Linked DNA regions of Oreochromis niloticus. The protein of the gene in region 4 interacts with the protein of the main gene of each other region in a pairwise test. Links are inferred from orthologs where the notes say so. Each region holds a gene or a part of one and is shown on either strand. Other genes may lie near its edges. The genes, in order: epn1a, tollip, transducin-like enhancer protein 1 and dazap2.

Region 1 (7,741 bases), on a different chromosome or scaffold from region 4:
TTTCCCCACCCACTATATGTGGATCTTCCCCCAGTTGGCAAACCAGCACTGGCAAGAAACATTGCCGCTCTTTCCGATTCTCCAGATTCAAGCAGATCCTTCTTCATACTGAACCAATAAAGTAAACAAACTGACTTCTACAAACAGCATGCTGGTTACAAACTGGAGATTTATTAGTTAAAGAACAAAAGAAAAATAAGATTTCAGCCCTGACTGCTTGTTACTTATTAAAATAAGTTGTAACTTGCAGTAATAAATTAACCTGTTGGCAACGATTAAACCAGTGGTTCCCAAAAAGTGTGGCTGGATTAAAAAAAACGATTGATTGAGATAGATATATATATGTATATATATATATATATATATATATATATATATATATATATATATATAGATAGATAGATAGATAGATAGATAGATATATATATATATATATATATACACACACACACACACATATACATATTACTGTAACTGCATAATAAGTAACCAATGAAATTCAGATGTACTACATTAGTTGACATGAAATGACCTGATTGACAGTGAGAAGGATCCAATTTGTGCAGTAGTAAAACTGATCACTTTCTTGTGTAAAGAAAACCACACACAACCACTTTAAGATCGAGAACTGTCAGGAGGAAATAAGCCACAAAAATACGCTTTTTTTATGGCTTCAGCTGGACTGGGATGTTAATAGGCTTTTATTTTCTGTAAGGTTTTAACAAATGTGAACGCTGTGCCACACAAGCAAGACAAACCTGGAAACCTGAGAGAAACTTAGTCTATCGTAAAGAACTAAATGTGAATCATAGTCAGTTTGTAGGACTTTGTACAAGTGTCTGATAAGGGGATCCAGGCAAGTTGCATGTTTGCGGAGTTTACTGGAGACCAAAAAAAAATTGTAGGTGTCACACTTAAAAGTGCTTTCATCTGACACAACAGCTAAAATAGTCATTCACGCCATTTTAGCTGAGATAAAGGCTAGTTTCTGCAGATATAAACAGTGGTTTAAAGTTTGAAAACTGCTGGGTCATTCCATCACAAAACAAAGTGGGCCTTCTGCTCGAACATCTCAGATATCCCTAAAAATTATATGGTCCAAAGTTTGAATTTACATTAATATATGAAATACTTCTCTAGCTTACACTTTGAAATTTGAGGCCATGTTTGAGTCCGCACACTTCAGTAAATATTTAAGATAAATAACAGAAATTTACTATACGAAATGATGAATCAGGATCTGTAATTTCGGACAGATACAGAGTAACTAAAATATGGAGAAAAATGAAAGCTATCTTGTAAATTCCCATGTTTGTGAAAAAGAAAGAAAATTACATTTCAAAAGACGACTTAATAATTTCTGAGTGATATATAATTTTATTTTAAAATACCACAAAATGAAACGTGCAGAATATTGTTTTGACATGAAATTCTTAGTTAATTATTAATCCAATTTCCAGTTTCAACTGAGAAAATTGTGTTAAATACATGCACGTTCTTAATTTTCAAGACCTACTGCACTAGATGACTCGGTTTAAGTTTAAAATATACTAATAATATTAAAAATGCAGTGAAAATGTACGAAAAAGAGAGGCACATCAGACAAGGTTGAGCAGAAAATGTTCTTAAAAATTGGATGATTTAGGATGGTTTGGCTCTAGTGTCACTTTCAAAAATGCTTTCATCTGGCAACACAGCTAAAACAGTTGTTCACACCATGTCAGCTGTGTGAAAACCACTGGATTACACATTTTAAATGGCACAAAATGAAAGCCTTTAGTTCGGATACTATACGAAAAACATAACCGTTCCAAACATCATTAAGTGTTTTAAATCAGCCTGACAGCTAATAAGGGGTTCAGATTTGTAGGTCAGATAAACATGAGAGCATGTTGCATAACTGAACAGAAAGCAACCATTGCAAAAGTCAGTTCAGAGACTCCTGAAGCCCAGTGCCAAAGTTCAGACACGCCAGCTAATCCGTGATAACCATGATAAGTGACATAACATACCTTTTATATATCTCCTCTTGTCAGATATCGTCAGTCTGAAGCCACACTGAGGGGAAAAAATCCCCCACAAAGTTTCAGTAAGTATCTCAGAAGCACTACAGTACACAGTTTATCAGCCTTAAGCACTAAAAATACACAGATGTCTCACTTAGATCACATACAGAACAAGCTATAAACGCTGTAGCGCTTATTTACTCATAAGTCACGTCACAGGAAGCTGCTCTATATGAAAGATGGATTGTATGGTTGAAGCCAACTACAAAAGGCGAAAAGCAGGCATAAGTGTTAACTGATTTATTCTTCCTATCACTCATATCCAGCTAACACTGCACAGCCTCCCGAAGATGTGACCCCCACCCAGATAACGTTAACGACCCTGCCAGACAGATGCTGAGCTCCCTGTCACACCTATTAAGATAGCAGGCTAACTAACTGATATGTTAGCAACCAAACTGTCATCTAACGTATTTCTAGCTGCTAGCAAACGCTAATGTCCGCTGTAAAATGCAACACACAGGTCTTAAAACGAACATTTTTATGTACCAAAGGCTTAATTTATCAACTAAAGGTGAGCACCAAACTCTCTTATTCTCAGCTAAGCTAATCGAAACTGTTTGCGATCACTTTGCTATCACAAAGTCTGGGTGTAGTACAAACAGGTGCACGGAGGGATTTAGTTAGGTATAAAAAAAAAAGCGGGGGAACTAAACAGAATGAGTCGTTCCTGTCCTAGCGCGGAATTATCCCAAACTCGATAAAAAGGTGAAGGTTACCTGCCACTTTGACTGATAAAAGAAATCACTTTGCTGCTGTTGCTGCTCGGACACATTAGCCAGCTAGCCTGTTAGCTGTTGCTAGTTCGCTACATGACTGACAGACCGTACGAGCTCCAGCTTCACGTCCTGCTTTGGGACACTACTGAATACACGCATTCAAGAGTCAAAAAAGGCTGACAACCCGGCACAATAAATATCTAAAATAAATGTCTACTGACCCTGCTGTAGCTTGAATGTACGAGGAGATGGCCGAATTTCCGCTTCCGTTCTCGCCTACAGGAAAGACCGCACCCCCTGTAGCTTTGTTTTCCTGTGATGGTAGTAGGAGACTCATGAATTATTAATTGAGACGAAAAGAAAGTCTCAAATAAAGAGATATCGAAATGATTGTTTATTACCGTTTAAATTCATTCACTGATAGACAGGGGGTATGTTTTTAAAAGTTCTGAGATAAATTTCCTTTTTAATATTCATTTTGTGTCAAAGGGAAGAACTCACATCCTCTTTTTGTCATTATTTTTGTTTTCGCACGTTTGTTCCACGTTCTCCAGACTTCTCAGAGATTTAAAAAAAAAGACTTTGGGTGGCTAATAGACAAGAAAACGGTTTGAAAATATAGAAGGTGTCTTTCTGGGTTCATTTCTAAAAATCCTAAATGAGGAACTGGTTTCACTAATGGCAATAAAATGGAGAACTTGCCCCTGATTTTATATTTTTAAACTGTGATCATAGCTGGACTGGCCATCGGGCATACCGGGCATTTGCCCAGTGGGCTGATGGTGATTTTTCGTTTTTATGGGCCAATGGTTTTTTATGTTTGTTTTTTTTTTCTTTTTTTTGTCTTTTGTTTTTTTGTAACGGTATAAACAATGAAAGGTGGTGTGACCAATGTGTAAAATGTAAAAATAACTTAGTTGTTTGGTGGTGGCTATGGCGGAGCTTCCATAGAAGCCAGCAGGTAAATGAGGGAAAGGGGAGGCAGGAGGAGGAGAGACCCGAGGTGGCCGCCGGTCCGAGTGTCAGGTGAACTGAACTTCAGGTAATAATGATCTGCAGTCTATCTGGGTCAGATATAAACCAAGTTTAGGTATAGTTTATTTTCATTGTGCTGACTTTTTACAGAGTTTCTATACAGCTGGGTGGGTGCTATGATGTTACTGATAGTGAACTTTATTTTATTCATACGGTTAGTTAGTAGAGTTGCCAACCGTCCTGTAAAAAACAGAATCGTCTGGTATTCAGAGAAAATATTACACGTGTCGTAATAAGCTGAAAAGGAACAGTTTGTCCCGGACTTCAGCTAGAATGAAAAAAAGACACAAAGCTGCAGTTATTCTGTGTCTTTATGCTGTCAGCTGTTTCTTCTTCTCTCATTCTCTCCCCTCCCTCTCCTGTTGCTACTTCAATCATGAAACTGATCAATGATCAGCTGATCGGCTTTTCTGACCAAGTCCCGTCTGTTTGTTTATGTCCCACTTTGCGCCAGAAAGAGGAAACCGGCGGATGTTGCGCTAAACAACAGCAGCAGGTTTAAGCTTGATCAGCTGTTGTTAGAATTTATTTAATATTAATTTCTAGTATCAGCTGAGGTTTGCGGGAGCCACAGCCGTAAAAGCTGCTGGTTATGATATCGGTTTGGATATTCTGGTGAGAGGGAAACATGAAGCTGAAACCAGGTAATGTCCTTACTGAATCATCAGAGCTGAACAGGTGATGGAGAAACAGGTTTACCTTTTAGGTGACATGAATGAGTTGAAGGGAAGTTATGAACAAATAACACCAGGATCCTTTTCTAAGTAGCTGACAGCTGGTAACTGTGCAGGGGCGGGTCTAGCAGGTTTTGCCAGGGGGCCAGGTAGGGCATTAACAGGGAAAGGGGGGCACAAAGAAATACTTTTGTTTCTTATTCTCATTTAAAATGTCTCGCTTTTAATAAATAATTATCTGAATCTTACCACCAAAGTTTTTATCTGATGTAAAATGTACAGAAATCATACATATACCAACAAGACAGTGCACATCACTGTCACAACAGCGTTTGTTTTCATTCAAAGGCTTTATGGCTTTTCCTATAATACCTGGTGGGCCAGTCTCTAGTCAAAATGCCCGGGCCGATTTTTTGTCCCAGTTCAGCCCTGATTGTGATAGAAAGTTTAATATTAGACGAAGAATACCCAAGGAAACACAAAATGCAGTTTTTAAATGATGATTTCATTTATTAGTGGAATCCAAACCTAGCTGGCGCCTCCTGAGTAAAGGAACTGCCCCCTTATTAATTAATGTGAAGCACATTTTTTTAGAAAGCACAGTTCAGTTTCTTTAGCTGTCTCCGGGACTGATTATTGCCAACCTGTTGATCCGAGAAATCACTTAAATAGTTCCTGTCTGACAAAGTGAAATACGCTAAAATTACTCCAAGAGCACATTAACGACTCATTCAAGATGTCATAAAAGAAGTAAAACTAACACAGCATTTCATAAAAGAACATCATACCAGCATTCAAACATGTTAGTTTTAATGTGATGGTTTGGGGCTGCTTTGCTGCTTCAGGACCTGGACTACGTGCCATAATTGATGGATGGAACCATGAATTCTACTCTCTACCAGAAAATCCTGAAAGAGAACATCCGGCCATCAATTTATACCCTGAAACTTAAAGTGAAATTGGGTTATGCAGCAGGACAAGGATCCAAAACACACCAGCAAACCTAACTCTGAAACAAGAAAATGAAGGTTTTAGAGGGGCCTAGACAGAATCCAGATTTAAATCACATCGAGATGCTTTGACCTGACCATAAAAAGCTTGTTCATGCTTGAAACCGCTCCACTGTGTGTGAATTAAAACAATTCTGAAAAGATAAATTACAGGGATGTGAAAGACTTATTACCAGTTATGACTGATTGCAGTTCTTGCCAATGCTGGCCCAACCCTTAGCTTTAGGGGGCAATTATTTTTTTCACATGGGGCAGATAGATTTGCATAGCCTTTTTTTCTCTTAATAAATGAAACCATCATTTAAAAAATGCATTTTCTATTTGTTCAGGGTATCGTTATCTAATATTAAAATTTGTTTGACAATTTGAAACATGTAAGTACACTGTAAAGTCTAATATTCTGCTTAATTAAAAATACTAAGTAGGCTGAACTCAGAGCTTGTTAGAACTCAGTTTAAGTTACCAGTAAGTTTTGTTAAAAATATAAACATTTAGTATTGCTTACTCAGAAAAATCAAGTTATTTTTAGTACTGTGTACCCACAATGAATAAGTTGGCCTAACTTAGTTATCTTAAGTATGCTTTACTACTTTTTTTTTTTTTTTGCATAATTTTTTTAAGTTCTGGAAACTAATTCGATTTTATGGTGTATTAAAAAAATATGCAGAAAAAAAATCAGGAAAGGAACAAATTATTTATTTATTTATTTTACATTGCATCATTTAAGTAAAATTACTAAGACTCTGTTTTGATGTTGTTTAACTGAATACAAGCCTTCTTGTCAGAGTGTGAAGACCCATACGCACGCTGATGATACGGAAAACATTGAGACATATTTGAGCAGGAAGTATTTCACTTCTTAATGAATGAAAACTGAAAGTCACACCATAGGTTTGGTGGTAAATCTGTGGTAAATCTTAAGATTTAACACGCAGCAACAATTTCTCCCCAAAAATGCAATGACCCTCACCGTCCACAGAGAGGCATCCTTGAACTATCTGGTGTGACACCAGACCAGCTTTGCCTTCCCTGGGACCATGAAAAATACCCCGCAAGCCTCCTGGATCAGAACAACAGCTGGCATGCATGTGTGTTACAAGTTCCCCTTTAATCCTTCATCTCTTTATCCCTTTATCTTTCCCTTCTCTCTGGGGAGGAGGGGATTGAAGAAAACATTGCAGCGTGACTCAAGCAAACTTGTAATGTTACTCTGCTTTGGAAACACTAATCTTATAAGGACAAGCAAAATGCCGGTGATTATAACAAGTATAAATTATTCTGACAGGTGTCGTTCCACTATTATGTCACGCTGAAACTTTATTTAGTATTTCCTCTGTGCCCACTCCCCCAAGCCGTGTCAGGAGAGAATCGTTACTTTGTTTTGAAAGAAAGAACTGGACTCAGCCTGAGGAGGGGCTTTTGAAGAGGAGGAATCAAACAAACTAACACCGAAGCTCTCACGAGATGCTCTTTTGAAAGCCTGTGCTGTCACTTTCTGGATGTAAATAACATTCATCACTGTGGATTCTTGTCTGACAAATGAACTCTCAGATCAGTTTCTGTTCATTTTATGTCTAGTTATTTATGTATTACTAAAGACACATTTTTTTCTGAGTAGGTATTTGTTTGTAGGCTAAACCCTGGAACATTGTGTACGTATCAAGTCCTTTTGTCACAATCACTTGAATTAATAATTTATCATCATGCTGAAATTGCCTTTTGTATTAGTCTGTATAAGTTTGTTTTGTTGGCCTCTTTTGAGCTCCCGGCTATTCAGTAAATGCAGTTGCTTCCATTTATTTATGTATTTATTTATTCATTCCTGTTTTGCCAATGAGTGAGTTGATGGAAAATCAGTTTCTTTGAAAACTGAACCTGTAATACTTTGCTTATCGGCTGCTCAGTACCTAACTATTACTTTGCCCCAAGACAAACTGACTGAAAGATTCTGCATCAACTCAAGACTAACTGAAGCAATCCATTTTTTAGGCACTTTCATTTTATTGTGAACTAGAGCGAGGTTAGAGACAGAGAAAGAGAGACACAACCATTCACACTCACATTGACATCTATGGCCAATTTAGAATCATCAGTTAACTTGGCATGCTTGCTAACATGTCTTTGGACTGTGGGAGAAACGTACAGAGGGAGAACATGCAAACTCCAGATAAAACAACCTGTCTCTGTTAGCTGGAGGCTCGAGGCTCAAACACAGGACCTTCTTGTTGTGAGAAGGT
Region 2 (7,260 bases), on a different chromosome or scaffold from region 4:
TATCCACAATGGAACAAATACTGTAGTGTCATCCAGTTGTATTTCTAATAGTGAAGCTGTGTTCACCTGGACCACTGTAATGCTAAGTCTTCCTACAGTGCTTATGGAGCCTCCATACTGCAGCTGCCTGGCTGCCTGGGCATCCAGCTGGACCTGCTGCTGCTGCTGGGTGGGAGTGATTCGCAGAAAATCCTGTGGAAGCTCCCCAATATACACCTGAATACAAAGACACAGGGATTAAGAGTTACTCTGCGTAGTCACTCAGAGAGACAGTTAAACATGACATACTCCATGAGATTACGTCGAGATATTAATTTCAACTGATGATCATGTTTGCTAAATTTCAAGAAGTTGGCTCCTGACAGCAAAAAACTGGTTTAAATTTTACCCAGAAAAACTGCCACTTAGTTATTTATTTTTCACCAGCATAAAAGGGGTTGGAGGAAGAGAAGATTGCTTGGTGTTGTATTAAGATTGTATTATTCATACAAAATTATTTAACATTGTACGTATTTTTTGAGATGGAAGAGAGAAACCAAAAGTTACTGACATGCAGCATGTAGTATTGCCATATAATTTAAATATGGGATAAATGAAGTGCTTATTGAAACTAAGATGAAGGTAAAGAGGAGAACAAATGGAAAACAAATGAAGTCCTCTAGCAGGGTGATCCAACCCTGAATACAAACTCAGAGCTGGTTCCCTAGGAGAGGGGCCAGTAAGCTAGAAGCTCTGCCCCAGTTCTACTTTTGAAATCTCTAGGAACCACAAATATGAATGCACTCTGAGAGGAAAGTGCTCTATTGAGATAATATAGTATTACGAGGTCTTTATGGTGCATATTCATTTAGGTCTTTGTATTTCAGAAGAAGAATTTTAAATTGGTTAGAATGTAAAAAATATATACTATACCTTATTTTGGGACAAAGTCAATAAATATTGTAAGCAGTTTTTATCTTATTTGACTGGTGATGTACTAGTGACGACATAAATGTAAGTTCATTTAGATAATGCTTCAAAAGTACTACCCAAAAAAGTCCCCAGAGGTATTTCTAGGTTGCTGCAAGAGTGGCAAGAGTTCCTTCTACAAGCAGGACTTTGGTTAACGTACATTTATAGACACCTATATTCAAATGAGGGTTGATGGACTTAATCGTGTTTTACATATCAGCATCCGAATTTGAATTCTAACCTGCAGGTAGAACATACAGTCAATTAAGTGAGTCATGATGAAACAGTTCTGTAATAAATTCAAAGGATTTTTTCTTTGGTTTGTTTTGGGGTTTGGTTTTTTTTTTCAATTTTTGTTGAAATTGTTTGAGAGGTGTTGATTTATATGTATAGCTCATTTGGAAAACATCTTGGTGGCGCTGTTGAATTTTAGTTAGCTACACTTGTTGTAGAGAGACCCAGTAGTCATGTAGACCACTATAGTGGATTTTAAATGGACCAATATATGATTAAAATGTCTGTGTAGGTTTTTAATACTTGAAAATCCTTTTAATCAATGACTGTCTGAAATCAAATTTTCTGCAGCATGTGGTTATGTCACAAACATTACCACATGCTTTAGTTTGTTTTTTCTGCATCATAATAGCCTTCCCTGCGTACACTGACATCTCTTGGGTTTCATATTCAAAATTACAGTGAAAAGTTACAGAATACAAAATTCTTCACTCTGAATCAACTTAAGATATTATGTCTGCTTCATTTGTCATGTAATAGCAATGCAACAGGCCCCATTTAACCTGTCTAAACAATTAATTCCAAAATATTTTGTAAAAACTCTAAAATGAAAACTAAAGGAAAGCATTTTGATCACATATTGTCCGATTTAAAATCCAATGTGGTGGTTTACAGAGAGAAAACTGTCCAACAATTTATATCCATATAATGACAGATATTTTTACTGTTCTGACCAATCCAGTATGAATTCACTCAGTGGGTGGAAATGCTGCTAGCATATTTCTTTCAGTGTTCAAAAATAAGTCTTCTCCCACAGTCATTATAGCCGACTATATCTCTCACTTTCTGTCTTCCACAAGTGAAAGTGTACAAGAGAGAAGGAGCAAGGAATGTAGCATTAAAAAACTGCAAGACATAGTGGGCTAAATCAATTTGTCTTCATCTACCTGAATAAACACAGAAAATGATGCCAACTTATTGTCGCTAAGAGCAGGATGTCTTCCACACATTTCTATGTTCAAGGGTATATTGAACTAAAGAAGCCACGAGAAAACTTTTTCTGTTAGTTTTTAGGATTTTGTGAGTTTAAAAGATGTAAACCCAAGCCTTTAATATGTTTATCTAGCCTTTCTTCTAACATTTTAACGTAATTCTAGCACGTGGAAAATGTTGGACGTGAACACCGTTTTGCTTGTCAAGTCTCAGAACTTCATTAACTTGTAATTAGTCGGTTTATGAGTAATCATTAGAAAATGTCAGCTCACCACAGATCAAAGGCTTAATGTTTTCTGACTCTTTGTAATAACAAAACATCCGGAGTCCTCTAAGGAGCAACATAGAAACTGAAAATTAAGCTTCCCAGATTTGAAGCACGGGAGTGCAACTGTTTTTTTTATCGTTTGTTGTGTAACACGGAACACGTCAGTGTTGCTATCCTGGCAGCTTAATCCTTGAGTTGCTATTAGCTACCTAAGCTAACGCTTATCAGTTAATTACCTTCGCCGACGTTGTCCGGGTATTGAATGCTAAGCTAGTATCAGTGCTGTGGGTCTCTGTGCAACTCTTTTTTTGGTCATTTAATGAACTGCCAGAACTACAATCCACAGTTACGTTTAGGTGTGTGCGTGCCAGTGCCAACAAACTAGACAAACGCCGAGGCCACTACCTGTCCCCTCTGGGTGCTGATGGTAGTTGCCATGTCGTCTCCTCTTTATCGAGATTTTCTCTGTTTTCTTAAATCACAAGCGTATGCCGTTGAAAAACAAAACCACTGTCCACTATGACGGATGTTTACCGTTCGACAGACCTCCTCTTCCTGCTTGATTTTTTATTTATGTCATGTGACAACCAGTATTACAGTGCTTTACCGCCACCTACTGCGTTGGAGTGGGCAATAGAATCCACTCTAGCCAAACCACGTTCAAGATTTTTCAGTTACTAGCTCAGGTGAAGAGCTACACCCGATCCACAAATGAATGGAATGCACTGCATTATATTGCGATGTTCTAGTCTTGCTGACCATGACTACACTTTACCCTTCAAGATAAGATAAGAGATAACTCTTTATTGTCATTACACAGTCATACCCAGTACAATAGTACAATAAAATTGGAAACTGTCCTACGTCAGCAATACAGACAACTAAACACCACAAAGCACAACACAACACAGTAACTTAAAGGGTATTTTTTTAAGTGGAAGAAATGTATGAGCAAAAAAGAAAGGTAAAGGAATGACTTGATAAATGAATAAAAGAAAGAGTGAATGTTTATTGCACTTTGTTATTATTGTTGTTGTTGTTGTTGTTGTTATTGCCCCCCTAAAAAAGTCCAGACAGGTAGCCAATCAGGTCAGCTGTTAGCATTGATTAGAGCTTTTGTTCTGTTGTAAAAGCTGTTCTTGAGTCTGTTTGTCTGCAACCTCAGCACTCTGAATCTCCTTCCAGACGGCAGCATAAACCTAAACACCCAGGTGCAATCCTGTAGGATGCTGCGTGCTGTCTTGAGACAACGAGTGCTATATAGGTCCTTCAGGGAGGAAAGAGGATGTCCAATGATTTTTTGGGGCCATATTAATGACCCATGTGCCACGGTGTGCAGCTGGAGAACCATACACAGATGCAGTATGTCAGCACATTCCAGAAAATGGAGATGCTTTTGGGCCGTCTTTACAACCACTGAGGTGTTTGAGCTCCATTGGAGGTCTGTGTCTATGTTCACACCCAGGAGCTTCAAACCCTTTCCATGCACTCCCCGTTGATGCTTATAGGCTGTAGCACAGACTTCCTCCTTCTGAAGTCAACTACCAGCTCTTTTGTCTTGGTGGTGTTGAGGTCCAAGTTGTTGTCTGCTCTGCACACCAATCCAGCAGCCTCTGAACCTCAGCTCTGTATGTTGTCTCGTCGCCCCCAGAGATGAGCCGACCACGGTGGTATCATCCGCGAACTTAATGACTGCATTGTGTGGGTGGGTACTAAGTAGTGATGTGTGTACACAGTGTACAGTAGGGGACTTAGTACACAGCCTTGTGGAGAGCCGGTGTTAAGGGTGAGGGCTGAGGAAAGATGAGGCCCTACTATATCTCTCTACACGGTCCGAGAGAAAGTCTTTGATCCAGCAGCAGGTAATAAAAGGAAGTCCGATATTCAGCGGTTTTACTATTAGTCTGTCAGGGAGTATCGTATTAAATGCAGAGCTAAAGTCAGCAAAGAGCGACCTGGCTTAATGCCCCTGTTGTTCCAGGTGGAAGATTGTGGTGTGGAGCATTGTAACAATGGCATCTTCACTTCTGTATGCGAACTGGAGTGGGTCGCGTGTGGGTGACAGGCAAGACACGATATGGCGTCGGACCAGTCTCTCAAAACACTTCATTATAACAGGTGTTAGAGCAATTGGTCGGTAGTTATTGAGGCTGCTAATGTTGGTCTGTTTAAATAGTAGGATAAGTGTGGCCGACTTTAGGCATGGCGGGATGCAGGACTGCTACAGTGAAGCGTTGAAGATCTTAGTGAAGACCCCAGCCAGCTGGTCTGCACATTCTTTTAGGACCTTCCTGGTCACCCCATCTGGACTGGTGGCCATCCTGGCTTTCACAGCCCTCAGTGTACACCTCACCTCATATTCCTGCACCATGAAGCTTGGGCTGCTGCTGCCATTCGATGTTTGAGCTACGGCTGCCTCTGATCCCTTCACCTCAAAGTGTGCAAAGAAGTGGTCCAGCTCCTCCGCAAGTGCCACGTTGCCCTCAGTCATCATGGTTTTGCCAGGCTTGTAGTTGGTTAGGTGCTGCCTATTAGGAGTTGGTGGGGTTTCTCTGGTGTGGTGTCATGAGTTTGCTTCCTTTTTCAGCACAGGTAGGCGGGGCGGTGTGTCACGGGATACTGGCACACTGGCGGTACATCAGACGTCATTTGATGGAGCGTTATTTAGGAGCAGCGCGACAGACGTCTGGTGTCAGAGTATTGTCGCCTCCCTGAGTGGTAACGTGTTTGTTAATCTCCGAGGTGTGCACTAACGGCCAACCCATGTTTTGGATTTTGTCTGCTTACCTGTTGTCCTGTATCCTTAGCCGGATCCATCACCCGCTTGCCTGTCAGCTGCTGGTGAAGCTGTATTTCCGGGATCACTACAGAGATCAATCTCATCTTTACCTTCACATCCCGGAGATTCTCGCCCGAGCCTGTACTGCCAGTGTGACAAGTGTGCTCTCGAACTCTCCCCATGTTTATTGCCGCTTTTTACTGATTGTTTGGTATCTTCCCCTTTTTCTCGTAGATCCACCCTGCGTGCACCGATTACCCCTTTCCCTCCGAGTGTGCGTCAGCCCCCTTCCCTGGTTTCCCTCCGTTTATTTATCACTGTACACAATCTCCCACCCTGTGTAAATAATCCAGACGTAAATAAAGAGCACTTTCTGCATTCCCTGCGTTTCTGTGTGTTCTGCCATAGAGTCCATTTTTGATTCAAGTGTCTTTGCTTTTTCAGCGTTCTCCCCACGCATTTGCTGACGACGCTTCTAAAATTTCATATTTGATCGGCGCCCTTCATGATCAAGCTTTAAGTTGGGCCGAATCATATCTGGCTCTCCATCCTCCATCTTGAGTCCCTCACATATGTTCAATTTGTCCAAGATTTTAAGTCCGTGTTTCACCACCCTTTGCGCGCGGACGAAACCGCACGACAGCTGTCGGCGCTCCGACTCCTCCATAGTGGAGTGTTCCATCAACTTCCGCGTTAAGGCGGCTGAGACCGGGTGGGGGGATGCCAAGCTGTGCGGGGCGTTCGTCTGCGGGTTAAGCGAACGTTTGAAGGACGAGCTCGCTACCCAAGACCAACCGGAGAGTTTTGAGGAATTGGTGAAGCTAGCCATTCACATCAATAACCATCTGCATGAGAGAGAGAGGGAGAAAGAACTGGGAGGCAAGGGTCGCGCAACCTCGGGGGAAGGTGCCTCGATGCGCACGGTCACTCAACCTTCACTCCTTCCCGCTCACGTCCAAGCGTGGTCACCTCCTGGGAATAATACTGAGGAACCGATGCAGCTGGGTCGCACGAGACTTACCCCTGAGGAGCGTCAGAGACGTTTTAAGGTGCGGCTATGTTTGGATTGTGGTCAGTCAGACCACTTTGTATCTACCTGCCAGCTTTGGTTAAAAGGCGGGGCCCACCAGTAACTGCGGGGGTACTGGTGGGTGGCACCTTTTCTCGGTCTCAGGTTCCCCGCATGCAGCTCTCCGCTGTCTAATAACTCTAAGACCTACTTTACTCAAGCTCTTTTAGACTCCCGGGCTGAACAGAATTTGATTGACAGAGGTCTGGTACGTCTCCTCAGTATTAAAACACGGCTTCTAGAGGTCCCTGTTTCGGTTGTTGCCCTCAATGGTCAGCCCTTGCCCTCGGTCACCCATGAAACGGAACCTGTCTCATTAATTCTCTTGGGCAATCATCGCGAATTTCTCCATTTTTTTGTTTTCGCGTCCCCTGATTCCCCCGTAGTCTTTGGTTATCCTCGGTTCAAGTGCCACAATCGCCATATCAACTGGGCCACCCGTCTTATAGAGAGTTGGAGTAGCCACTGTTTGTCACACTGTCTGAGGTCTGCTTTACCTCCTTCTGCGGCCAGTGCTCCCGAATCGACACAAGAGGATTTGAACCTGTAGTCTGTGCCAGAGGTCTATCATGATCTGAGGTCAGTTTTCAGCAAACATCTTTGCCTCCTCACTGGCCGTATGACTGTTCTATTGAATTGTTGCCTGGAGCTCCGCTGCCTACTAGTCGGCTGTACAACCTCTCTGGGCCAGAGAGGGCTGCCATGGAAGCCTATATTACGGAGTCCCTGGAGGCAGGCTTGATTCGGCCATCCTCTTCACCCGTGGCTGCGGGGAGTTTTTTTGTGGGGAAAAAGGACGGATCTCTCAGACCTTGTGTTGACTATCGTGGACTTAATACCATCACTGTGAGGAATAAATATCCCCTTCCACTGCTTTCTTCCATTACAGGAAGCGGTTGTTTTCACTAAGTTGGACCTTCATAATGCGTATCACTTGGTACACATGCGTCAGGGGGATGAGTGGAA
Region 3 (7,895 bases), on a different chromosome or scaffold from region 4:
GGTAAAGCTTATAGTTAGAGCTAGATCAGCTCACTTATCTCTTATGCCTCTTTTTCAATAGTACATACTTGGATCAGCTCGACTCTACCCGTAACGGGTTTTATTACTTATGAGTTCCCAAGCAAGGTGAGTTGAACCAAAAATGTGACGTTAACAGACAGTCATGAGAGCAACTCCTTCACAATAAAAAAACCTGCGATTTTTGAAACTGAGGGAAATGGCAACACACAAACCAAGTGTTTTGGAGTGTTTTGTCTCGCCAACTTCAGCCTTCTTGGGCGCTCTTGTTTTACCCTGAGTCTGACAAAAAGCCATAGACCGAGCAGCAGGTATACCATTGCCTCGTTGTAGTGTGTTTGTGTTGTATACAAATGATGTGAAGGGACTTTCTGACAGTCTTTCTATAATGACTCCACCCACATTGAGGTGATACTCAGTTGTAATGGAAAATGATGGAAACCGGGTAGAGTAGATTTGAGTCGAATCGAGCCAAATAGTGTGCTGGGGGACTTCCCCTGCTGCACTGAGCGTTTCCTCTCCACACTACTCTTTTCATTTTCTGTGTTTTACTTCTAACATAATTTGTGATGTGTCCTTGTCTCCCTGTGCTTTCCATTTTTCTTGTATTTCCCTCCATCCCGTAATCAATCACAGCACATAGCTGCCCCTCTCTGGATAATTCTGGATGCATCTTCCTGTTAAAAGGGAGTTCTTCCTTCCCACTTTCGCCAAGTGCACGATATGGAGGTTTTATTTTGTTAGGCTACATTAAAGCACCTTGAGGAAACTGTTCTTGCGAGTTGGTGCCATATAATTTAAATTAAACTGAACTGTATTTAAAAACCGCCAGTCTTTCTTTTAAGAAAAAATTCAGCATTTGTGACTCAAAAACATCACTTTATTTTTACAAGTCTAAAATTTTAATTGTATACGTACAACAGCAAAAAAGGACTATTCTATTCCATCTATTCTAAAACACATTTTAATTCACATTTAAATGTCATATTGACATAAAATGCAGGGCGTTCTATTATACAGGACATGTGGTTTTCTGTGTTTTTACCTTTTTTCCCAGTAACCTGTGGTTAACATTAGGTAGAAACAATTTGTCTCATTCATCACTTTCATAACTCCTCAACACTTTGTGGTGTCTTGTGTCTATAACCTCAAATGCAAATCTCTCATAAAGTAATAATAAAATGCTAATCATCCTGTTTATTTGAGGATACTCTACATGTATTGCCTCATATTGAAAATATAGTGTTAAATAAAACACTGTAGTGCAGAAAAGACTTCAAACAGAAAACATGGATCTGCTACTTTTTCTTAATATAATGAATAGTTTAACTATGGATGTTGTGTTGTGTATTAAAAAGATTTAGTTTTGACTGATGTGTGACCTTTAACTATTATTTGATGGGCTGTAAGGATCTTTGCATTGAGGTGAGTTAAGGTAAGGAAAAAAGGAGCATGTTGCCTTGTGCTTCTTCTTGTTTTGCTGTTTGTAGAACTAATGGAGCACTAAAAATGTTAATGATTACAAGCCCAATTTTGAAAAGGTTAGGATGCTCTGTAAAGAGTAAATCAAAATAGATTGCAATGATTTGCACTGAACCATATTTATTCACAAAAGAACATAAAAAACATCAAATATTTAGATTTTTACTATTTCATGAGAAATAATAGCTAAATTTTAATTTGATGGCCGCAACATGCCTCACCTCACAATAAGTTGGGATGGATGTAAAAGTTGGACGCCTGTGATCTTTGGGCCCTTGGGAACCACTGTGTTAAAAACAGGGATGATTCTGTCATGCAAATCACTGAAGAGTGATTAAATGAGGAAGACTATGAGGAAGAGCGGAAAACTGTTTTGTGATCAGATGAATCGAAATTTGAAATTCTTTTTGGAAAACATGGACACTGCATCCTCTGGGCTTAAGAGGACAGGGACCATCTGGTTTGTTCTCAGCACTCAGTTCAAAAGTCTCTGACGCTATGGTGGTATAATAGGGAATGGAACTTGCAGCTTCCACATCTGGAAAGGCATCAATGCTGAAAGGTACATAGAAGTTTTAGAGCAACGTGTCCTATAAGATGACATTTTTTTCTTGGAAGGCCTTGCATATGTCAGCAAGACAATACTAAACCGCATCTTCCATTTATTTTACAACAGCATGACTTTGTAGTAGAAGAGTCCAGATGCTGAACTGGTTTGTTTGCGGTCCACTCCTTCCAACAACTAAAAAAAAATGGCAGATCATGAAATGGAAAATATGATAAGGAAGACCCAGGACAGCTGAGCAGCTAGAATGCCGTATCAGACAAGAATGGGGCGACATTGCTCTAAAGGGGGCCAACCGCTGGTCTCCACAGTTCCCAGACATTTACAGAGTGGTAAAGAAGAGGGGATACTACACAGGTGTAAATGTGGCAGTATTCCAACTTTTGAGACATGTTGCTGCCACCAAATTCAAAATGTGCAAATATTTTTCTTAAAAGATTTGATGTGTTCTCTCTGGTCTATTGTAAATAAAGTATGAATTTATGAGATTTTTTTTTTTTATTGTTCAGCACATCACAACTTTGCAGAACTGGGATTGTACCTCTTTTTTGTAGGAACTTATTACACAGTATGGAGAAGTTATTGATCTAAATTTTAGATTACGCTTCAGGTATACTCAATGAGGCCAACACTGCACTTGATCATGAACAACTGAATCTGCACTAATGGCAAAAAAAAAGAAAAGATTACATTAAACCTTGAAGCATTTGGGAAGAACAGAAGAGAAGATGGGGGAACTGGGGCCATAAAAGTGTAGCAATGTGCATAATTCAGTGCACCGTAGAGAGGTTTAAGAAGGGAAAACAATAAAAAACAAAACATTATGCAGCAAACAGATAAGTAGCCAAGATTCTAAAAACATGCTGTAAATTTTAGAAATGACACAGACTCAGGGTGATTTTCTTTAGTGGAAATTTACCATATATTCATAGGCAGTAACTGTGATTAACTGTAGCTCCAGAAGCCAGTCGCATACAGCCAAAATGAATAAATTAATATAAACAGTCTAAATGAAAAGGTCCAACCATTAGGTTGATGCAGCACAAAATTTGCCTGTGAATGCCAAACAGTGTGGCTAACTCACATTTCAAGGCAGTCCTGGTTGTTCATTTTAGAGGGGCCCGGGGTGGGGTGAGGGTGTGGGTCACAGGCAGCAAAGGTTAACACGAATGTGAACCAACACTTATAAAAGACAAAATGCATTTAAGCACCCGCACAAATGTGTAGCTGCACATGCAAACCTTTGTAACCGTACCACCCACTCCACAGCACCTGCGTGTCTGTGCATGTGTGAGACCTGCAAAAAACAGGTCACTGTTGGTCACAGTCAGGAGCCTCTCATACGGACTGGATCAGCCGCCGTAGAGGTCAGAGGTCACGTGGGTCAGAGGGTTGAGGTCTCTAAGCCAATCACGGGCCAGTGTGTGGCTGAGGGGCCATCCAGTGTGAAGTGAGCAGTACTTCGATGGGATAAGAGGAGTAGAGAAGATCCCACGAGCCTCCTTTATGACTCAGCTTCAAACACACCTCGCCAGTCACAACGTGGTGACTTCAGCCATGCAGTATTTCATCAGGTAGCTGGCACAAAAACACCCCAAAATGAGTGCAATTTACCAATAGCCTTTATTGGCAATGGAGCTATAACCTGTGCTTGTTTGCTAGGAGAGCAATAAATGGTGACATCTTTATTTTAAAAACATTGCTGAAACTTTTATGTGCAAGAGATATGGTCTTCATTTTTGATGAAGGTGGCAAGTTATATTTCTTCACACATTTTCAATAAAAGCCCCTTTCTCATTTATGTTTTTGTATTCATGTCTTTAGCAGCAACTCTAACTACTCTTGTTACCTGCTTGTTACCTGTTAGCGTGTCTTTATTTACAGCTGCTTCAATCTGGCTTTGACTGCTGGTATAATAAAATACCATTCTGTGAGCTTTATTACAACGAATCAGGAATTCCCCTGGCATTTTTCTGCTTTCTTTGGGTCAAAATCACATTTGCACAATGCCGAGCTACGTTTTTGAAGAGATATAAAGACATCACAGTACAAGTAAGGGTTTTGGATTTGTCCTTGGCCAGCGAAGGAAACATGATGAGGCAAACTGAGCTATCTCTGTAGACTGACTGTATGAAAATAGCAATAAACTGCAACAGATGAGCAGCATAATTAGATTTTTTTAGGAGAAGCAGAACATAAAGAGCGTTCAAGTCCTACTAAATCAATTCCCACGCTGAAAATTATTACATAGAGGGGGAGAGAAAGCAGAGGAAGAGAGAGATTTGGGGTTATTTGTCATGACACTTGCTGGGAAGGTTCACGGCGGCTAAGAAAAACAATATTTCTGTTTTTCTGTTTGTGTGTTTGCCTGTTAATGTGTGCGTGTGTGTATGTGTGTGGACGCGCACATTTACAGCTCTGCTCCTGGTGAACCCACGTTACTTTGATTGACAGCTGAGACTTGCCTTTTTCCCCACCGCACTGCCCGCCCTGCGCGCTTCCGAAGTGGCAGCTCCTTGCGACGCGCTGATTGGTCAAAATCTGCGTAGCTCAACGAGGTCAACAGAATCAGGGAACTTTGCAGAGAGGCTATTGGTCAGTTTCATAACCCACATCATTTTCCCCACGTGGAGCGGAGACTGTGATTGGTGCGGAGGCGTTTTGTGGGCTGGCCTATAGTTTCGGTTAGCTGGGTGAGCGTGAAACCGCGTGAGAAAGTTGCCATTGAGGTAAAGCAGAGCAGGACCGTGAACAGTTCCCGCCGCTGTGGGAGTTGTTGTTATCAAAATTAACGACATATTTCCTCGTTTTTTTATTTTTTGTCTTAAAAACGAGAAATCTATTTTGGAGGCAAGGCTTGCTTCCACACCGATCGAGGAAGTAAATATTTCTGTATTTGTTGACCGTTCAACCGCCAGCCAGTGACCGCGGCGAGTCAAGTGGGAACTCTTCTCTGCAATTAACTTGTGTGGATTTGTTTCTGATGCTCTGAATGAGCGCCGGCAGTTTGCGGCTGTCTGTTGAGGATCTACGGGGTTGATTTTATCTTGTTTGTTTGTTTGGTCGGCTCTCCGTACTCGGAATACATCAGTTCGCACACAAAACAAACGTCGGAGTGGCGAAGGTGGCTCCAGCCCTATTTTTTTTTCTCACCTGGCTCTCCTGTCCTTCTCTTCCCTCCCCCTTCAGCTGCTTTCAACTAATGAGCCGTTTCCCGTGTTTTTCCGGTTGATTTACGGTCGCGCTGCCTGTGGAGCGGAGGACAGACGACGACCGAGAGACGGGAAGAAGCGGAAATTCACGTTAAACGGTCGGTGAACCCAGACGAAGCGGACAAGCGGTCGGTGCCTTTTTTTTTTCTTTTTTAATTAACGATCGTTGGTCCTAATAACAACGGCGGATGGATTCCTCTCCGTGATTGGGAGCTTCCCACAACCTTACTTTTCACCCCCATTTGATCCCACTTTGACGGGGTTTTAAGAAGGAAACGGTTTCATCCTCCCGGAGATAACAATGTTTCCCCAGGGGCGACACCCGGTAAGACGCTCTTTGTGCATTAACAGACGCTCACTTCACCGGGCTCAACCGGGTAACATTACCTCGTTATATGACCCGCCCCTCCGGGCTGCCTATGTGTTTATATTAAGCTCAGTCTTCTAACTAATTGGGCTCTACAGTGGGATTGATTATATTGCGTTTTGGCTTTTTGTGTGTGTTTTTTAAATAACGACTAATATTTAGAAGTTGTTGATATTGTATTTGTGCTTAAAAGTATCAGATTCATAATGTAGACAACAAAATGTGCCAGTGTGATGTTAGTAATCTGTGTGTGTGTGTGTGTGTGTGTGTGTGTACGCGCGCGCACGCGCCAGACGCCCCACCAGGCTCCAGGCCAGCCCTTCAAGTTCACCATCCCAGAGTCACTGGACCGCATCAAGGAGGAGTTTCAGTTTCTTCAGGCACAGTACCACAGGTGGATAACACAAACACTCAATTCACGTTTTCCTCTATTGTCATCTGCCCTCCCAACACTAAACTTCACCCTAACCACAGTCATCCTCATAACCATAATGAACAAAACCTCAACCCTGGCTTCAGACTAACCCATAAACCTGGATTAGGTTCACGTACACATACAAAAGTGCACACATATGCAAGCAGGCATCAGTGTTAGCGCTTGCACTGCGGTAGGTCTACATCTTCTTGATGGGTGAGAGCCAGAGGGGTGGCGTGTGGGCTTAGGGTTTCATAAATCACGCCTTATTTTCCCCTGTGTGTGTAGCTGTGTAGGGAAAAGGCTTGCTCAAGTACTGCATGTGAGCAGAGTGTTTCTTTTTTTCTTTTTGTTTTTTTTTAACTTTGCTCTAGATGTTGTCAGGGTGGGTCATTCACAACAGGTGAAAGCTAGACCTGGATGTTTCTGATTTACATATTCAAAGAAGAGGATTGTCATAAACATATACCCATTATTTGACGGGAACAGTCATCGCGTTTTCCATTTTTGCACCAATTCTTTTGAAACATCTCCATGGACTGTTTTAGAGGGTGTTTAAATCATCAAGCAAGAGGGGCGAGAGAAAGAATGAAAACTGATTAGTTTAACTTGAAATGTTGAGTTCCACTCAAAGTAAATGGTGTATTGTTTTTCTTGTTGTTTTTTTTAAGTCTCAAACTGGAGTGTGAGAAGCTGGCCAGTGAAAAAACAGAGATGCAGAGGCACTACGTCATGGTGAGCTCCCTATACTCAATTCATTTGCCCTGCAGGGTCACACATCACATGCAGGAGTTCTAAAGTTTCCTAGAGGAGAAAGTTGTCCATATCTTATAAAGCAGAATACAAATTCCTATCTGAAGACTCGCAATACAAAATATATGTATTGTTAATACTAAATGAAGGGAAGAGGAAGAGCAACGTGCAAGTGTCACCTGCTTTTACTGTGCAAAGATGCTGTGCTGTTACGACTTTTCATGTTGATTTAAAATGTGTTTCACTGTTTCAGAAAATAAAATATACACGAGAGCTTACGTTTCACTTTTAATCACTGAAGTTTTACCTCTTTTACACAAAGCAATGTGGCTGTGTGTCAAAAGCTTTTCATCTAGCGCAGAAACAAACATAACATGGACAGGAATGCTGTTCAGTTCAGATTGTTTGTGAGGATGTTGCATTGCCTCATGTTCAAGTTAAAAAGCATTTGACTTGCATGTTTTGACTTTCAAAGTAGTTTGACCTCTTTGTGGAACACTTCATTTAAAAGGATCTGCAAATATCTTGAAAGACATCTACAGTGTAGCTAATTATTGTTTAAGTTATTCAAGCTTTTTCTTTCAGGGGTTTAGGATTTGTTTCACCCTTCTAACCTTCTCACTCTTTGCCCCCCCCAGTACTATGAGATGTCGTATGGCCTCAACATTGAAATGCACAAACAGGTATGGCTGCTCGTCCACTCTGTCGGTCCTCTTGTTTATCTCTCTTCCTCTCATGGATGGATTTTGATGTATGTGGAGTGTGGGCCTGTTGACGTGTCCTTGTGTGTGCACAAGTGCATTTGTGTGTGTGTGTGTGTGTGTGTGTCTCTCTCTCTCTTTTACTGTATACGTGTATATGTGTGTTTATTTGTGATCGATGGGGCTCTGTCTCCATTTCCCCAGTTAGGGCCGGCCGGCTGAGCCCAGAGGCAGGATGAATGGCTCTGTAGATTGATTGGTGCTGTCTAGGGGAGCGGCCTGCTTTATTACATTAGAGGGGCAGGGCTGGTGAGGGCAGAGGAATCGATCACGGTGAGGCAGACGGAGGAGATACAGTGGAGCTCTCCCTTTTTGAAGCTGG
Region 4 (8,015 bases):
CCAGTGACCCCGTCTGTGCCATCATACCCGTCATCAGAGTGGCCAGACTTTCCTGGGTCAGCACCTAGAGAAAGAAATTCCATCAACATTTATGCCTGCGAGGTATTCAATGTGCTTTCAGTGGACTATTTTCTATACTATATTTTTATTGTTTTTACACAGTGAAACTAAATAGTCATACATCTGTTACTGTGTGTGGACTGAAAAACTCCACTATTAAGCTTTTTAAAAAAAAATCATGTTAGGGGTTTTACTTTTTACTGCTGAAATTGCTGAAAATGTTGTGCTAATAGCCTCAGGCTATGTGTTCAACAACTTGGATTAAACTTTGCTCATCTTTTTTACTTACACAGTGCACAATGGCATCGGTATATAACCTCACTAAATCACCTACAATGATTTTTTTTAATGTAATAACACTGACACTTGGCCCTCTGGTGCATTACTTTTCTACAAGAATAATATGGAAAATGAGAAAAATCCAAATGGCTTTCCCACCCACTCTAAGCTCTTTCTACCAACCTTTAAAATCAGACAGCAAAACTACTTTGTTTCTCTGATGGTTAAATATGAATATGAGGTGCAGTGTGTGTGCATCTCAAAAAGTCAGACCTGTGGACAGCCTTGCACGGTGATGGGCATGGCAGCCTGGTGCTGGGGCAGAGACACGCTGATGGGAACAGCAGGGGTCAGAGTTTGGACCATAGGAGCTGGAGGCTCCACAGACACCACCTGCTGCTCACCCAGCACTGCAGGAGCACAGCCAGAGTTGGTTATTAATGACATTTTAAGTTGTTTTTTGGGTTTTTTTTAAATCACACAGATGTTATCAAGAATTCACTACAAATCTGGATATATGAGAAGTGAGTTCTCTGCTATCCAGCATTATCAAGGATGACAATGATTTACCTACACCACCCCCTGTGCTCTGGGGCACTGTGGGGCTGTCCTGGGTGCTGCTGGCATCAGGTTGCTCTCCAGCTTCAGCCACTCCCTCATCAGTTTTGCATTCGCCCTTCCCATCAGCTGCTGAAGAGGCTGAAGACGCATCGACTTCTACTTCTAGCACTCGAATGGTTTCATGGCCAGACATCACAATGACCTGCACAGCGATCAGGATTTAAATCTAAGAGGACTCAAATGCAAAGAAGGCTTCTGCTTTTGTTTGAGTTTGTATTAAAAATGTAATAAACTAGTTATGTGCAATTATTTTATGAAACAACAGGAGATAATTCTCATCTGACCTAGCACCAGAGGGGTGTAAAACATTTTCTGTAATTTCAGTATTTCTCCACCTTGTCAATTCCCTCTGGAAGAACTTAGCTGATGACTCATGGTATGCAATAATGACAGACCTAGCGGAGGGGCAGCAAGACAACCTGGGCTGGAGGACAAGGTGCAGAGAGACAATGCAGGAAGAGAGAGGAGGATGCATACCTGGTTGTCTTTGGCAGGGAATTTCAAAGTGCAGGATTTAAATGGCTGAAAAAAGACTTCTGCAGTCAGACAGTGAATGGCTAAGGAGAACAGAGAAGCCGAGCACATGTTAGGACAAAATGAACCAAACAAAAAAAACAAACAAACAAAAAAAAAGAGACACAAATGAAAAGAGCATGAGTACACATAAACAATGATAAGAGCATCAGCCAACAAGCAGCTCAAGCAATGCTTTCTTCAAGGTCGCCTTTGTGCTTCCGTGAAGAGCATTGCTTTTGTTTGCTGACTATGTCTAGACACAATGTTACTAGAGAGAGAAAAACCACAATTAATTATTAAGCATGGCAATTCAAAGACCGTTTCCAACACAAGCATAGATATTATTAGTCTATAAAACACAAAAGTGCATCGGGATCTCAGTGGTCTGCTGTGTGACAGTTAATCATTCCATTATGAAGTGGCACGCTGGCGCATGGAGGGTGACAGGAGCAAACAGCAGCAAACAAGTCGAAGGCAAAGTTATGTTTAGTTAAGCTCACTGCAAGAGTAGCTTGGGGAGGGGGGGTCCACTGCTCCTAACAAACACATGAGTGTTACCTGCTCATTGACAGTAAGTGGGGCATCTTTGGCAGGCAGATCCTGGGAGTTCATGGCTTGCTGCACCACCACAATCACTGTCTTCCTGGCATTCTGGGTAAACAAAAATGAAAAAAAGTGATTTAAAAAATGTGGAAGCATTTTAGAAATTAAAATATGTATCAAGTTTTCCGTATAAGCCCACAGTCTCTGCACTTTAATGACAAACCCAGCTTAAACAGAACCAAATGCAGAGGACAGGTTTTTTTCCCTTTCTTTTCAATTCATTGCTATTATAGTCATTGCACGAGTAGACAATTTGGAAGGGGCCTGTAAACAGGCCATACTGTTTTGCACTTAAGCTGCAGAAAACGTGATCAAACACGCTGGTCGTGGACGTTAAGTGGTTACGCGTCCACCACGGATCGCAAAAACACTCGAGACGGCGCGTTTCCTGCTGCAATGCCCCGTTAGATATGGGGATCTGTCAAAAACTTCAGCGGGTGTTGATGGGCTCCCCACCCCCATCCTGGCCAATAAAAGTCTCGCCGCGTCGGCCACTTTTAAGGACAAGCAGCAAGCACGGAGCACAGGCGACGGAAATCATCTCGATCCGTGCCAAGAGACCGAATATTATGTATTTCCCTCTCTTTATCATAAATATATAAATTATGCTAATTACGAACATTGCATATTAACCAAAACTCATTTCCTCTCGCCATTTCGCTGCTATGCGCGAAGAGCAAGCCAGAATACGGTCCGGTTATTATATTCAACTTACCGCGTATATGCAGCTTATTTCCTGTAATCCCCGGCTCTTAAAAAGGTCCTTGTCACAGTTTGTTTCAGTCACACATAATTAAAAATTCATCTCAGCTCCCAGACAGGCGCTGTGACTGCACACAAAAGAGGTATTTGCATTGATAAGGAGGCTTGCAATGTTAGGATCTCCTGTCTCTTAATATTTAATGACGATGCCCTTTCTGCAACAGTTCAGATAATCAAAAATCCTTGAGGTGTCTCACAGAATCCTATTTGAGCTGTAAAGTCGGACAAAATTGCTACAAAATTGGCCTTTTGCACTACGTCATGAACATAATTTATGCAAGAAAAAATCTTGCATTGAAAAATGTCTGCCTCGACTTGAGAGGTGCCATGGTTCTCTTAAAGGGGAAGTAGCGCACACAAAGACGAGCACTGGAGACGCTGTCATGAAACACTGTGCCGATAGTTTCAATTTCCCAACACCGCTGTTTGTCTGTAATATCACGATATTCGCACAGTTTTTGCGTTTATTTGAACGAGAATTAAATGATTTAATGCAGCAGAAATAATTATGGAGACTTGTTTACTTTCTTCTTAAAATGACGTAGATATGTTTTTTTTGTGGTTGCTCTATATATTCTATTATATATATTTTTTTAAATGGGAAGATAATATATAACCTTTGATCATGATGTAGACAGTCGTGCTATTTTGAATAATCCTGTGTTAATTCTGAATTTGATACATAAGGAATGAATGTGTAGTTCCGAGATCATAGGTCATCATTTAGTTGATGAATAAATTAGTTGACTCACACAAAACTAACCATTTTAATACTGTGATTTTTTTGGGTAATCCATCAGGAAAAACAAATGCCAAAAATTAATATTTTTTTATCGTCTTGGTTTGCCATCCCAATGATTTTCGGGGGTTTTACTGACTGAGATTAATTGTATACATACACACGTACTCAGAAGGCTAATTGGGACAGAGTGGAGACACCTGGGGAAAACAAGCTACAGGTGCAGATAATCAAGATCACTAGACAGGGGAGGAAATAAAACTTAAAACAACACATAAAAGACAACTAAATATAAAAGTAAAACAGGATATAACTGATAAGAGTTAATTAGTAAGCAAGTTTTAGTAAACACTCTACACAAGAGAGCTATTCTTGTGTAGCCATAACATAACTGATTTATTAATTTTTGTTGATTTGTTGATGTCTTTATCAGGACCAAATTGTATATGAGGATGCTATATAGGACGTGCAAGAGCATATTAAGGACAAGCAAGAAAATAGTATTGATGGCGTTATAATATTGTATATTTCTGTTATATTTTACTGGCCCTAAGGTACATATGTCAAACCCAAGGTCCAGGGCCCTTTACAAATTGTGCCCAGCAATAAATGTAGGTTAACCTGCATATATATTTTCTTATTAGAAGGCAGTTTACGTGTGGTATGTGTGAACTGCCCAAAGATCTTTTGATTTTTGTTACTGTTGTGATTGATTAAACAATATAAAAACAAGGTAAATAGCATGAAATTCTGATGATTTTTTAAGCCTTCATGTGGACCGAATTGTGTGTGATATTACTGTATGGGACATGCACCAGCATTATCCAGGATAATTTTATGGTAGGATTGATTGTATGGCAAGAGTGACAGATGGGTTCAAGGTCGGGGTAGAATTACATCAATTACACATGAACCATCAGGGGAAATGGTTCATGTGTTTAAATACCTCGAGTCAACCATCCAAAACAATGCAGTGCACTGCAGAGGTGAAGAAAAGAGTACAGGTAGGGTGGAGTGGGTGGTTTGTAAGCTGCCAAGCAGGAGGAAAATAGGAAGACCACAGCGGAGAGTCATAGATGTAGTGAAGCAGGACATGCAGAGGTTTGCTGTAACAGAGGAGGATGGCAGGGACATGGTGAGATGGGGGCAGATAAGGTGGTGTCCAGCTCGTACATGGAGTAGCCCGAAGATGAAAAAGAAGAAGAAGCAACTAGGTATGCATGACCCTTGATGTGAGCCCAACTTTATCAGCGTGGGCGTTATTAAAAGTAAATTTGACGCCCTCTGTCTTAAAACCAAGACAATCCTTTTTTCCTTCCAGCTGGCAGCTAACCTCTGCTCCATTTCTACCAGTAGGGGGCGCGGGCGTGCACGTAAAACCGTGCGTGCAACCGCAGATAGATAGAGAACGGGTGACGTCACCACTTCCACAACAACAAGAAGCTGAAAAACAAGGAAGTGGATGATTGTGTGAAGCCGTGACCTGCACTAAGGCCGTGAGAAGATACGCAGAGCTCCGTTTAACCTGATATTCCTCAGTCTCTGGATCATAACACGACAATGAACAACAAAGGTATTTCTCCAGACCTCGTTTAGGTAATTAGTCAGCTGTTCGCTATACGACGCTGACGTGATTAACTAGAGACGAAGAGCTGCCGTTATGGCTTTCCGAAGCGGACTTCACGTTTAGCCACGTACATAACAATAACCCGACGCTTCCTGGGTAACAGTGTGGCTCCCACTCTGAACCAAGACGGCTTTATTGTTAGTAGTGAAGCTGTTTACAGTGAAATCCTACATTTACTGTCACTCTATATTCTTATACCATTAGTGGGCAGGTCACATGTTTTCCAGGCAGCTAATATCTCTGTAGACTGGCACATTTTAAAGGCACAGCTGACGTGACTCTTTCCTTCTCTTTTGTACGACCCATCATACAAATATAATCTGTGTGACTCATTTTAGTAATATTTGTTTTCTTTTGTTGTCAATTTACGTATTATATCCTCACATATTATTTGGCTATTTTATTTGAACACACTCATTTCTTTTGTCCCCAGTTTCGCTGTATCTGCTCATTTTAACTCTTTAGCTTTTTGATGATTATGATTGTAGTTGACTAAACATATGTATCGGCCATCTGTATCGAGGAAATAATATATAATTGTGTAATTTAAGAGGAGAACGATATCGGGGGATTGGAGGATTTCTTTTTTTCTCTGTCCCGAAAAGTTAAAAAAAATAACAACAACAACGATCAAAGCTAAATAAATAAATAAATTCCAGTCAGTCAGGTTTTTATTTTCCGTGTCTGCGTTTGTATTGGCCTAGAGTTTCACAACAGACGTACATTCAGTATTTTTAATTTGCCTATTATTTCCTTAGTTACACTTTCGGTTTAGAGCAGTAAATATGAAACAAACAAAAAAAACCAATCCAGTCGCCACATTTATTAAGTTAAAACGGGAGAATTTGTGCAGTTCTTACATTTAAATATTATTTTGCATATCAGAATTAATTAATTCTCTATTGTTTTACTAATTGGTCACTTGTAGTGCCCCCACCACACACACACACACACACACACACACACAAATATTCGACCAAGGTTAAATCAGAAGGACTGGGAAATATTTTCTTTTTTAATGGGTTTATTTTTTTTCCTTTTTTTTGTAATCGTAATAATAAAACAAATTTTACTTGCAAACCACATCTTTGTGTGTAGTCACCTGTTTTGAGTCAGGAAAGAAACGCTGAATCTTATTTTTTTTATATATTCATTTTTCTCCGGTGTACTGTCAGTTGTTATAATCTGCTCCCGAAGAAACAGTTTGTGGGGGTTTTGTTTTGTTTTTTGTGGTTTTCTGTGATTATGAATATGTAACTATTGGGAAAAAAATATTTGAGGAAATTTACATCTTACTAATAGGCTCTCAGAAGCCATCTTCAAGTTCACTGGACAATGGACATTGACCCCATAAGCAACATTGAGTGTGTTGCATTCCTCTATTGTCCACATTTAAACAAAATGACATTTTTATTACAGCACAAAATGTATTAATACCGCTAGGCATGACAGAGGAATGTTTGGTGCCTAAGAGTTTTGTTCTTTCTTAATTATTTCCTTTAATTTAAAATCTTTTATTGCAGGTTCATATCCACAGCAGGCTGTGTACCCTCAGCAGAGCACTGCACCTGTATACCCTCCTGCTATGCAAATGTCTCCTCAGGCACCACCTTACACAGATACACCACCTGCATATTCTGAGGTAACCAGTCCGTATTTAAGTCAAATGATGAGCAGAGTTAATACTCGCACTTACAGTTATAAACAAAAGAAAAATCTGTTTTCCGTTCTCTGTGTCTCCAGATCTACCAGCCCAGATATGTGCTTCCACCTCAGGTGCCTGGTCAGGTGCCTCAGATGTCCTCTCCCTATCCTGGTGCTCAGGTGTATATGCACATGCAGCCACATATGTCAGTTGGGCCAGTGGGCCAGAATGTCCCCATGGCTTATTATCCGATGGGAGCCGTCTACCCGCCTGGTTCAACTGTGATGGTGGAGAGCGGCTATGATGCTGGTGCTCGCTTCACAGCCGGCAGCAGTGTTTCCATCCCAGTGAGTGTCCATGCCATGCCAAGAAGGCATATCCACCTTAGATGAGATGCACAATTAAATGAGGAACTCTTTAACTGTGTTTGTGCTTGTTTCTTTCCTTTGCTAGCCCCCACCTCCTGGACACCCCCCTAATGCCGCTCAGCTGGCTGCCATGCAAGGTGCCAATGTTGTAATGACACAGCGCAAGAATAACTTCTTCCTGGGTGGATCCAGTGGAGGTTATACCATCTGGTAACAGCAGCTCCTTCTTCATGCCTAAACCATGTCCCCATCCCAGATGATGCCCCAGTTCTTCCCCCATCCCATATGCCTCCCTCTTCAGGCTGCTTGGCCATGCCACAATACTGATATCACCTAATGGAATGTAATATTTTAGAGCCCTTGTGAAAGGTACAGTACTCCACTTCTGACCTAGAGATGAAATGATAAACTCCATTGCCTGAAGAGGAAAAGTGAAAATTGTAATGTTACAGAATCCATTCCATAGTTCTTCATTGGGTCTAACCTCTTTGGTCATTCCAGATCTGACCTCTTTCAGGCATCTTTATTTGTCAACAAGATCTTCTCTTCTTTGATTGAATGGTCACAAATTACACTGAGATGTTCTTGTACTCCTGTAAAAATACTTTAATGAAATTATTGAAATATCAGATCCGCATAAATATAGTTTAGCTGCTTTATGGTGAAAGTGAAACGCAGTTACAAAGTTGCAGTAAAAAAGAAAAAAAACCTCCACTTGTCTTTTTTTGAAACTTTTAGTGTAGTTCAATTAATAGGTGTCTAGTAGTTCCATGTAAATACCAGTATGATTATGAG

Evidence for each region.
Region 1: the proteins of dazap2 (region 4) and epn1a interact in binary tests that used the Homo sapiens proteins (3 or more experiments, as listed by UniProt). The two-hybrid records come from large-scale screens. The link is inferred for Oreochromis niloticus from reciprocal best matches to the Homo sapiens genes DAZAP2 and EPN1.
Region 2: the proteins of dazap2 (region 4) and tollip interact in binary tests that used the Homo sapiens proteins (3 or more experiments, as listed by UniProt). The two-hybrid records come from large-scale screens. The link is inferred for Oreochromis niloticus from reciprocal best matches to the Homo sapiens genes DAZAP2 and TOLLIP.
Region 3: the proteins of dazap2 (region 4) and transducin-like enhancer protein 1 interact in binary tests that used the Homo sapiens proteins (3 or more experiments, as listed by UniProt). The link is inferred for Oreochromis niloticus from reciprocal best matches to the Homo sapiens genes DAZAP2 and TLE1.

The regions. Positions count from the first base shown.
Region 1 is NC_031976.2:22,692,402-22,700,142, forward strand, and holds the start of epn1a (epsin-1), read right to left. Parts: upstream 3,115-7,741; 5' UTR 3,007-3,114; intron 2,996-3,006; exon of another isoform or gene 2,786-2,995; intron 2,581-2,785; coding exon of another isoform or gene 2,503-2,580; exon of another isoform or gene 2,065-2,502; intron 2,059-2,064; 5' UTR 2,013-2,058; intron 1-2,012. Other genes in the region: putative serine/threonine-protein kinase SBK3, read left to right, coding at 2,503-2,580. UniProt on the Homo sapiens protein: Binds to membranes enriched in phosphatidylinositol 4,5-bisphosphate (PtdIns(4,5)P2). Modifies membrane curvature and facilitates the formation of clathrin-coated invaginations. Regulates receptor-mediated endocytosis.
Region 2 is NC_031965.2:3,875,352-3,882,611, forward strand, and holds the start of tollip (toll-interacting protein), read right to left. Parts: upstream 3,063-7,260; 5' UTR 2,885-3,062; coding exon 2,852-2,884; intron 217-2,851; coding exon 67-216; intron 1-66. UniProt on the Homo sapiens protein: Component of the signaling pathway of IL-1 and Toll-like receptors. Inhibits cell activation by microbial products. Recruits IRAK1 to the IL-1 receptor complex. Inhibits IRAK1 phosphorylation and kinase activity.
Region 3 is NC_031977.2:21,197,919-21,205,813, reverse strand, and holds the start of transducin-like enhancer protein 1, read left to right. Parts: upstream 1-4,734; 5' UTR 4,735-5,578; coding exon 5,579-5,602; intron 5,603-5,937; coding exon 5,938-6,038; intron 6,039-6,730; coding exon 6,731-6,794; intron 6,795-7,450; coding exon 7,451-7,495; intron 7,496-7,895. UniProt on the Homo sapiens protein: Transcriptional corepressor that binds to a number of transcription factors. Inhibits NF-kappa-B-regulated gene expression. Inhibits the transcriptional activation mediated by FOXA2, and by CTNNB1 and TCF family members in Wnt signaling.
Region 4 is NC_031984.2:9,350,518-9,358,532, forward strand, and holds the start of dazap2 (DAZ-associated protein 2), read left to right. Parts: upstream 1-4,982; 5' UTR 4,983-5,140; coding exon 5,141-5,153; intron 5,154-6,730; coding exon 6,731-6,849; intron 6,850-6,950; coding exon 6,951-7,199; intron 7,200-7,305; coding exon 7,306-7,434; 3' UTR 7,435-8,015. Other genes in the region: pou6f1 (POU domain, class 6, transcription factor 1), read right to left, coding at 1-64, 613-749, 910-1,102, 2,035-2,175. UniProt on the Homo sapiens protein: In unstressed cells, promotes SIAH1-mediated polyubiquitination and degradation of the serine/threonine-protein kinase HIPK2, probably by acting as a loading factor that potentiates complex formation between HIPK2 and ubiquitin ligase SIAH1.